Linked DNA regions of Mus musculus. The protein of the gene in region 2 interacts with the protein of the main gene of each other region in a pairwise test. Links are inferred from orthologs where the notes say so. Each region holds a gene or a part of one and is shown on either strand. Other genes may lie near its edges.

Region 1 (5,726 bases), on a different chromosome or scaffold from region 2:
CTGTAAAGGGGGAAGGGTGCACACACATTTTCTAATGTTCTCTCAGCTGGGGGGTGGTGTAGCCAGGCTCAACCCATGGGCTACTGAGCAGGACAAACAACCGAGGGATAGACAGACAGACTACTCAGTCTGAAAGTGCCTGGCAAGCAGACTCCGGGCTCTGTGTTTGAGTCATCCATGGAAAACGAAGAGCATGGTGGAGCAGGATTGTCGCCCCAGAGCTTGGGAGGCTGAGCTGGGGACCCCAGGAGTTCACTGGCCACTCAGCTAAACCAAAGAGGTACAGGTTCTGAGAGCAAGTCTGCCTCAAAACACAAGCAGAGGGGGCTGAGCCAGTGTCAGCCGCTGGCATCCACACAAGGGAGGGTGCGGGAGGGAGGAGGCTAAGGGAAACATGATGGCTCGCACCTGTGAGCTCAGCACGCAGGAAGCTGAGGCAGGAGGATGCCAAATTTCAGGATAACCTGGGCAACTTTAATGAAGTCCTGTCTGAATAAAGAACCCCTAAGAGGGAGTCAGGGGCCAAAGCTCAGGAGGCACAGTCCTGCTCAACACCCCGAGGCTCTGGTGTGCAAGCCATGTTGACACCCAGCCCAGAGCCATAGCAAAGGCAGGGCAGGGAGAACCCCTCATTGCCAAGGGCATGACCAGCTTCTCCCTTGGGGGGCTGTGAAGAAAGGGTTTGCCCCATTTGTCTACGAGCCTTTGTTGGTCTGTTTTCATCTGACTGTCTCTGGCCTTCTCTAGGCCATGCTAGGACCCTGAGCTGGCTTAGGGGAGGAGCAGGGTCTTGTGTTACACGGGCAACACTCACGTCTTACACTTGGGACATTCCTCTACAAACATGTTTCCGTGCAGCTCTGCCAGCTTGTCCCTGCAGAAGAAGATGCCAGTAAGGACCCTTCCCAGATCCTGGGGCTTGGACCAGCTGCTCAGTCTGCCTCCTCCTCCAGAAAGCCTTCCTAGGGGGCTCACTCACAAGGGGCGTCCACTTCTCTTTCCTGGAGGATGTCCCAGCCTGTCCCATTCTGAGGAACTGTTGCATGCATAGCTGTCTGACGGTGTCTTCACAAACTCACAAATACCTCCTCCCCACTACAAAAAACCTGTTGGCTAGCCGCGGCACACCCCTTTAATCCCTCCATTGGGAGGCAGAGGCAAGTGGATCTCTGTGAGCCTGATCTACAGGGCAAGTCCCAGGGTAGCCAAGACATGGAGAAATTCTGTCATGTACTCGCCCTCTGCCGCAACAGTCAGTTGGCCCTAAAGCCCCTGCCAACCTCCCCACCCCACCCCAGTGAGGGGTGGAACCCTGCCTACATCCCCCCAATTTGACCAAGTACTGCCCGGCTTTGGGCTCCGAGCCTTCCCCCTCTTTGCATCCCTAATAAATGCCCCTGAGCTAGGGCACCCTGGTCCAATAAGGAGGAAGAGATGCAATTGAGCCCCAGCCCCCCGGCCGACTCATCGGACCTGGGGAAGCCCGAGCGCACGTGCAGCCCGTCTACGTTCTGGCTGACCAGGAAGCTGAGGAAGCCCATGCGTTCTAGCTGAACCAGGGCCATGTGGGTCTTCGAGGGCCGAGCATTCTCGAAGGTGGTGTCAAACTTGGGGGCCAGGCCGCGTTCCTCCATGGTCCACACGCCATGGGGGCCTCTGAGGATAGCAAGCAGAGGAGGACAGGCACAGAGGTCAAACATTCATTTTCCAGGCTGTGGGCTCTTCCTGTTAATGCTGAAGTCAGCCCATGCTGGCCCCAGCCCCGTTCTTAGGGTGGTTCTGTATCCTGTGGTGGAGACAATGACTGCCGGGTAGGCAAGAATTCTAAAGAGCATGGGACGTCTTCATGAAAGAGGCGGAGGGGCTGAGGGTCTGGGGGTAAACAAAGGCAGGGGAGCTAGTGGAGCTGGGGCTGAGTACTGGTTAAGACCGGCTGCGGGTTCCCAGAATGCTTTACAGTGGTCATAGGCTGCCACCGAAGGTTATGGGTGAGCTAGTCACTCCACAACATTGAGTCATTCTGACCCTAGAAAACCCAGTGGCTGGCCGAGCTGCATGAATACATTTCCCAGCATGCCTTGCAGCTACTACATTATGTGGGCATGCTCTGATCCTTGGGCAAGTGGAGTTTTTGCTGGGCCTTTCAGAGACATAGGAAAACTGAAAGGTCCTTCTGCCACCTCACCTTAGTCCCTAGAGGTGTATCAGCAAGAGCCCTGCCTCAGTTTCCCCTCATTGTTCACCGACCTGAAGTCGGGGATGCCAGAGGCGGTGCTGATGCCGGCGCCCGTGTGGAAAACCACGCTGGAGGACTGCCACATTAGCCGGGCCAGCTCCCACACCTTGCGTTCCAGCTCCTCTGGTGGGTCGAAGATCTGTAGGGTCAGAGGGCAGGAGGAGGCAACACGTGACCTCCCAAGTGGCAGGCCTCCTGTGGGTCAATGCTCTGTCTGCCCCTTCTCAACATCCCTCAGTTCCAGCCACACTCTTAACACATCGCTGTGTCCTACCCCAGGGCCTTTGCACATGCCGAGCCCTCTTCCCAGAGTGCTGTTCCTGCAGGCAGCCACTCCTTTGTCCTGGTCTGGTTGTGGCCCACGTGACCTCCCCACTGACGTCATCCCCCATCCTGGACTTTAGATAACCCACCTCTCTCCCCTAAATCAAGATGCAGCTCTACTTGTCTAGGGGCTCCGTTAACATGAGGCAGGCAGGGCATGGTGTCGCAGGCCTTTAACACCAGTACTCGGGAGGCAGAGGCAGGAAGATTCCTGTGAGTTCGGGGCCAGCCTGGGCTACAAAGAGAGAACCCTCCACCCTACTACACCCCTTCAGAAACAACAAAGACTGACAGCCCCACACTCAGGATCCATCTGGCCCAGATTCAGGGAGGAGTACAGAGTGGGGTACAGGGATGCCCCCAGGAAAGGGTGCCAGCTTCCGGCCCTGCAGATCTTCCCACAGCTCCAGGTTTTCCCTGACAATTAAGACGTCCACTCCCTGACCTGACGATTTGGTCTCGTTCCCATTAGCCCCTCACTCCTTCCCTGACCCAGGTTCCTCCGTGTCACCCAGCCTGAGCAGTGGGTGTCACTTCCCGCCCCCTCCTTCCAGGGAAGTCCCTCCCATTGTCTAGACTCTATGTTTCATGCTGTTCCCACAATGCCCCGCTTCGCCCGGCCGCTCCCCGTCTGGGGTCATTCGGTGACTCGAACACTGCAGCTCTCACCTCGGGCAGCCCGCACTTGCCCTTATCCGCGTAAGGCGACAACCCTGCTGCATAATTCACCGACATCGTCGCCGGCGCTGCCGCACGGGAACAATAAAGTTTCCCTTGTTGAGGCCGCTTCCGCCGGAAGTGGTGAAGGGACGGTCGGGAAAGAGTAGCCGCCTTCCCTAGATACGTGCCTGAGGGTGGGGTGGGTACGTGGAGGTGAAAAACAGCATTCTTTCCAGAGCGCATGCGCCCTCCTGATGCAGCAAGCTTAGTCTTCAGTGCTGGCCGAGACTACCTCTCTGACTTAGTGGATTCCCCAGTCCTGGGATCCGCGACCAGAGCCAGAAAAGTGATGAGGCCACTCACAGGAGTCGAGGCAGGGGGATTGCGAGTCCCAGACCAACTCCCTGTTTCAAAAGAGACAACATCAGCAAAACCCAGAAATGAAACCAAACAAAGCAAAACAAAAATCCACAGTTCTCAGTGTGTAGAGCCCTGCCCGGAGTGCTTATAGCACTGGCAGGAGGGGACAGAAAGTTCGAAGCCACGCTAGGCTACATGATACCCTAACCTTTGTGACTGTCATCCAGGGTCTGCCTGACTCTGGCTACAGGAGAGAATGAATGGAAAACTGGGGTTCTTGGGCAGAGGAAAGACCTCTGGGCCCCCTGCCAACATTTCCTGGGTTAGTTTCTGGAGTGCACCTCCCGGAATATCACAGAGCATAGGGTTAGGTCCACAGAACTGGGCGAGTTCCACGTGTTACCCAGAGGTGCCCAGAGATGCAAGGAGAGAGGTGAAGAGCCCTGCTTCCGTGGCCATCTAGAGATGGGAGGCACTATCTGACCATTCTGCCTGTTGGTAATCAACAGACACAGGAGCCATGTGATGGGTCAATGGCAGCATATAACAACCGAAGCCTCCTGATCCCCGTGGAGACCCCAAGAAAGGCTTCGAGGAGGCAGGAGCACACAAGGAGGTGGGAGAGGCCGTCCTTGGGGCTGCCCATCTGAGCAAGCTGGCTAACAGCAGCTTGTCTCCTCCCTTGGCTCATCCGTCCCCCGCTCCCCCACCCCAACCTGATCGGGTGTCACCTCTACTCTGCTGCTGGTGGCTCGCAGCTGGAGCGGGTAACCAGAGAGGCTGCTTGGACGCTGGGTTCCGGTCTGGAGTCGCCTGAGGTAGGGGGATGTGGGTGAGGGAGGCCAGGGAAGTCTGGGTGCTGGTGAGGGGTGCTACCTGCAACAGTATGAACACACGCATCTGCACACTTGTGACAGGTGCACACATCCCACGCGGGAGCCAAGGCCCAGGCCCAGTGCGCAGCGTCACCTGTGCTGTGTCACCTCTTCAGAAGGCAAACCCTTAAATCCACAGGCCTTCCCTGCCACCTTGCCGTGGCGATTTCCTTCAGACTGGTAGCATGTGGACAACTCTTTTGGGTGTTTTGTCACCCACCCTTGGTGGTAGGTGTGGGGTGAAAGTGAACCTGATTAGTAGAGGAGGTGGGATCAGTGAATGGATGGATGGATGGGTAGATGGGTGGGTGGATGGGTGAGTGGGTAGATGGGTGGGTGGATGGGTGGGTGGATGGGTGAGTGGGTAGGTGGGTGGGTGGATGGGTGAGTGGGTAGATGGGTGGGTGGATGGGTGGGTGGGTAGATGGGTGGGTGGATGGATGGATGGATGGGTGGGTGGATGGGTAGATGGATGGGTGGGTGGAACTGCCCTAAATAGTGACAGTTTTGACCAGACTTTCTTGCAAAACACTGACTTTCCAGTGTGTCTCCCCCTGTAGCTCCATTACATATGAACCCAGGTTAGAGGTACAGGAGGAGACCCAGCTTGGGAGAACTTGGAAGCTCCGTTTGGGGAGGTAGATAGTTCTGTGTGGGAGAGAGGCGATTTTGTGAATAGAAATTTCACAGAGAAGAGTGTTTGTGTGGTGGGGAGTTTATGGCATCAATGATTGCACAAACTCCAGGTTGCAGCCTGTGTGAGCTGCTGAACTAGTGCTGCTGGTTGTGATGCACGCTCAGCCCCACTTCAGGGGACTGCCTGGACAAGGAGGAATTATCTCTGTTTACAGTTGAGGACAGTTCCTTCAGAGGGTGCAAGTAGCCTGAACTTGGACACACAGCAGATTTGCCCAGGCTGTGTTGTGAGGACAGTGTGGCTGACCACCCCAGCATCCTGTCCCTCACCCGACCCACGCCTTGTCCAGAAACAAGACGAGAGCCCCTAGCAGGTGTGATGAAGACCCTCCGGGCACGATTCAAGAAAACAGAGGTGAGTCTTCAGGCTTGGAGGACTGCTCAGTCCTCCCTGCTGTGGCTCAGAACCCACCAGTCCTTTAGGCTCCACCTGATCCCCTATCCGCTGTTCCCCCAGCTGCTGCAGCAGGTCAGCTACTCCAGCAGGTCAGCTGCTCCAGCAGGTCCCTGGTTCAGTTTTCTGGATCAAATGCTGATTGCCCACGTAGGTTCACTGAGTCCCACTCATGGTTCAG
Region 2 (4,719 bases):
GAGTACCGGAGACAGGTGCAGTCACTCACCTGTGAAGTGGATGCCCTTAAAGGCACTGTGAGTACTACAGCAGCAAAGGGGGGGAAATACCGTGCTCAGTACTATTCTGCTGACTAGGTTAACAATGAGACCTGTACAAATAAATTAAACACACACGGACACACACACACACACTTATCCAAAGAGAATGAATTATCAAGATAGTTTTAAGGATTATTTAATGAGTACCTTGAAAGTCTTAGTTTACATATGTTATTGATTGTAATAAGAGGGGTTTTAGAGGTTACTCCTGTAACCTCATCACTCTGGAGAATGAGGCAGGGGGATTATAAATTCACAGTTAAGCTAGGCTGCATGTAAAAGTGTTATTTCATCAAAGCAAAACATGGAACTGGGTGCTTGTGTTCTCTGTTCAAAGCTAGTGGGCACCTACCATTAAAAGAATTACTGTACCTTATTTATGAATATTTTGGGGGACAGCCGGGTTTTCTGGGAAATCACATGAGAAGCCATTTTTGCTTTCTGCAGAACGAGTCCCTGGAGCGCCAGATGCGTGAGATGGAAGAGAATTTTGCCCTTGAAGCTGCTAACTACCAGGACACTATTGGCCGCCTGCAGGATGAGATCCAAAACATGAAGGAAGAGATGGCTCGTCACCTTCGTGAATACCAAGATCTGCTCAATGTTAAGATGGCCCTGGACATTGAGATCGCCACCTACAGGAAGCTGCTGGAAGGCGAGGAGAGCAGGTATAGAAGGCAAACGTGCATGTGTGAACTAACTCACAGTCGTCTTTCTAGGAAGATCTCATTTAACCCAGACACCATATATATGAGGAACTTAACGTTGCAGAGAGTAACTTGCTGTGGTCAGAGATAATTAATAGCAGAGTAGATTTGAACTCACAGCCATGCAAAAGACAATACGTTCTCCCTCTATAAATTCTTCTGGTTCATGTTTCTGTGTGGAAAAAAATATCTTCCGAAATTTAAATGGGCCAATGAGACCAAGCATGGGTAGAAAGTTCTTAAACAAGTCACTAACAGCAATAGATTTTCATTTGGTGGAAACAAGAACTGCGAAAACTTGTTCCTGCTTCTTGAAGTGCTTTGTTCTCAAGTTTTTTGTGTGTTTCTTTCTCTTTTTATAGGATTTCTCTGCCTCTGCCAACCTTTTCTTCCCTGAACCTGAGAGGTAAGTACATTGTTTCATCTTATGGGAAAAAAATGTCACAAGGCTGTCACCAGTCACTCTGCCTGTAGCATAGCTTCCACATTTTTAAAAATATTTTTTATTACGTATTTTCCTCAATTACATTTCCAATGCTATCCCAAAAGTCCCCCATACCCTCCCCCCCACTCCTCTACCCACCCACTCCCACAGTAATTCTTGATTGAACTGTGCTTTTCCAAAGAAAATTCAATGAAACATGATTTCTCTTTTATAAATACATGTGTATAGCCATTTTATTTTCTGAATATTTCTTTTGGGCTTCTGAGGTTCTGATAGAGTTAAGTCACTTTCTCGCTTCCGTTTCTTCTCTCGAAACCTTCCATGTACTGCCCCCTGACATATATGGCTGTCTTTTCAGTTCATGGCTTCCTTTTGTTTAAATGCTGTTACACACACACACACACACACACACACACACACACACACACACACTGTGTATTCTTACATACATGAGTACAATGGCTCATTCTGTATAATATTACTTACATGTATGCTTTCAGGCTCGACCATCTGGTCCCTTTTTTATTATAGTTCTCATGACTGCTGGAGACCAAACCCAGGGCAATCAGCTAAGCTAAACCCACAGAGCTCCACCCCTAGCCTGATACCCTCAGTTTCAAACTCGAGTACATTCTTGCCTTTGCTACCCTGTTAAGTATAGACTCAGTCTACTTCCTGCTAATGGCAAAGTCAGTGAACTACTACCTCAGCCTGAATGAAGGAGCCCTTAGGTGCTGTGTACTCAAATGGATAGTGCTATGTAGGATTATGTATGAGTAGCACTTTAAATAACCATAAAAATAAAGTCATGATGCTTTGGGTAAAATGGTAATGTTTTAAACTTTTTCTTATGTTACTGCCTTTTTTTTTTTTTTTTTTTTTTAATTCAGAAACTAACCTGGAGTCACTTCCTCTGGTTGACACCCACTCAAAAAGAACACTCCTGATTAAGACGGTTGAGACCAGAGATGGACAGGTCAGTATTTTTTAGTTAAAATATGGGAAAGTTTAAAAGAAGGAATGATGAATAAACTATACAACCACTTTAAATATGTGTTGGTCCCCTTTAAGTCAGCAAGCAGATATATCAGATATGGCAGCTAACTTAAGGAGTCCCCGTGGATACTGGATGAATAGCCCCCAATTCCACCAATGCAAGAACCAACAGTCTATTTGGTCTTGATTAGGACAGTAAACTTCCTGCACACCATAGTCTGTGCACTAAACAGGAGTAAAACACCCTTAAGGCATCTCTTACATTGGCTGCATTAAAGTGTGTCACTTAATGACATCCGTGATATCAGGGATAGTTTGACATTGGACATACAGTTCTCTCTCAGTGATTGTCACCTGCTTATATAGTACGAGGACCCATATGTGGTCAATCACTTTCTTGTTGCCACTCCATGCCAGGGAAGACATAGTTACAATGAGTTATAATTATAAAAGCTCAGCCTTGCATGAGGATATAAAATACATTTGCCATACCTCTACATATGCCTTAGTTGCTTTTAAGCTTTGTTTGGAATTGCAAAGGCCAACTTCCTAAACACAGTTTCAAAGTATTCTTTTGTCACACCTTTCCACTGGATACTTGTATTGTCTGCAGGAAGAGGCCACCCTGCCTATGCTTCTCCTTAGGGCCTCGTTCTGCAGAGTCAGCATAAACTCCCAGTCTGCTCAACCAATTCTGTCTGATTAGGGCCATATCTCCTTACCATGAGTTGATTTTTGTTTCTTTTTTGAGCAGGTGATCAATGAGACTTCTCAGCATCACGATGACCTTGAATAAAAATTGCACACACTTGGTGCAACAGTGCAGTACCAGCAAGAAGGAAAAAAAAATCGTATCTTAGGAAAACAGCTTTCAAGTGCCTTTACTGCAGTTTTTCAGGAGCGCAAGATAGATTTGGAATAGAAAGAAGCTCAGCACTTAACAACTGACACCCCAAAAGACGTAGAAAAGGTTTACAAAATAATCTAGTTTACGAAGAAATCTTGTGCTAGAATACTTTTTAAAGTATTTTTGAATACCATTAAAACTGCTTTTTTCCAGTAAATATCTGACCAACTTGTTACTGCTTCAATAAATCTTCAAAAATACTGTTTTGGTGTGTTATTTTATAATATCTAAACAACTCTCTTTACTTCTATTGGTTAATTTGCAAAAATCATGTTTAGATTTTTGAGTTCAATTTATTTATGCTTGCGATATAGTTTTCACGTTAGCCTTTTAAGAGGGAGATCACTTCTTTTTCAATTGTTTATTGTTTTAATTTGATGTGGGTATATGACTTAGAGGCATGCTTACACACACAGGCCCTGGGTTCAACCTTTAGTAAATGAATACATGCATCTGCACATGCTTATGCACACACATGTGCACACCCACACAAAACTGATATAAAACTATGTGGTATTGGGGAAATGGCTCACTTGATAAAATGCTGCTTGTAAAATTATGAGGATTTGAGTTTGGACTCCTGAAATTCATGCAAAAAGAACATGGTGTTCACCTGCAATTCCAGCCCTGGGGAAGAAAAGAAACCAGGACCCCTGGGACTTACTGACCAGCCTGTTTAGACCATTTTCGAACTCTAGGAACAGTGAGAGACCCCCTTTTTTTATTAGATAATTTCTTTATTTACATTTAAAATGTTATCCCGTTTTTATTTACATTTAAATGTTAACCCGTTCCGGGTTTTCTCTCCAAAACTTCCGAACACCTCTCATTCCCCCTGCTCCCCAATCCACCCACCCCCACTTCCTGGCCCTGGCATTCCCCTACACTGGGGTATATAACTTTCACAGGACCAAGGGCCTCTCCTCCCAGTGATGACCAACTAGGCTATCCTCTGCTACATATGCAGCTAGAGCCGTGTGTCCCACCATGTGTTTTCTTTGGTTGATGGTTTAGACCCTGGGAGCTCTGGGGTTACTGGTTAGTTCATATTGTTGTTCCTCCTAGGGAGCTGCAAACCCCTTCAGTTCCTTGGGTACTTTCTCTAGCTCCTTCATTGGGGACCTTGTGCTCAGTCCAATGGATGGCTGTGAGCATCCACTTCTGTACTTGTGAGGCACTGGCAAAGACTCTCAGGAGACAACTATATCAGGCTCCTGTCAGCAAGAACTTGTTGGCATCCACAATAGTGTCTGGGTTTGGTGGTTGTGTATGGGATGAATCACCAGGTGGGGCAGTTTTTGGATGTTCCTTCCTTCATTTTCTGCTCCACACTTTGTCTCTGTAACTCTTGAGTTTTTGATCTTAGCCATTCTCACTGGTGTGAGCTAGAATCTCAGGGTTGTTTTGATTGGCATTTCCCTGATGACTAAGGATGTTGAACATTTTTTAGATGCTTCTCAGCCATTCAATATTCCTCAGTTGAGAATTCTTTGTAAAGCTCTTTACCCCATTTTTAAGTAGGGTTATTTGGTTCTCTGGAGTCTAACTTCTTGAGTTCTTTGTATATATTGGATATTAGCCCT

Evidence for each region. The genes of interacting proteins can lie anywhere in the genome.
Region 1: the proteins of Vim (region 2) and Sirt6 interact in a two-hybrid assay, tested with the Homo sapiens proteins (2 studies listed by BioGRID and IntAct). The link is inferred for Mus musculus from reciprocal best matches to the Homo sapiens genes VIM and SIRT6.

The regions. Positions count from the first base shown.
Region 1 is NC_000076.6:81,624,243-81,629,968, forward strand, and holds the start of Sirt6 (NAD-dependent protein deacetylase sirtuin-6), read right to left. Parts: upstream 3,296-5,726; coding exon 3,230-3,295; intron 3,081-3,229; exon of another isoform or gene 2,650-3,080; intron 2,376-2,649; coding exon 2,248-2,375; exon of another isoform or gene 2,186-2,247; intron 1,657-2,185; coding exon 1,474-1,656; intron 875-1,473; coding exon 815-874; intron 1-814. UniProt on the Homo sapiens protein: NAD-dependent protein deacetylase, deacylase and mono-ADP-ribosyltransferase that plays an essential role in DNA damage repair, telomere maintenance, metabolic homeostasis, inflammation, tumorigenesis and aging.
Region 2 is NC_000068.7:13,579,490-13,584,208, forward strand, and holds the end of Vim (vimentin), read left to right. Parts: coding exon 1-57; intron 58-528; coding exon 529-749; intron 750-1,150; coding exon 1,151-1,194; intron 1,195-2,123; coding exon 2,124-2,209; intron 2,210-2,983; coding exon 2,984-3,025; 3' UTR 3,026-3,337; downstream 3,338-4,719. UniProt on the Homo sapiens protein: Vimentins are class-III intermediate filaments found in various non-epithelial cells, especially mesenchymal cells. Vimentin is attached to the nucleus, endoplasmic reticulum, and mitochondria, either laterally or terminally.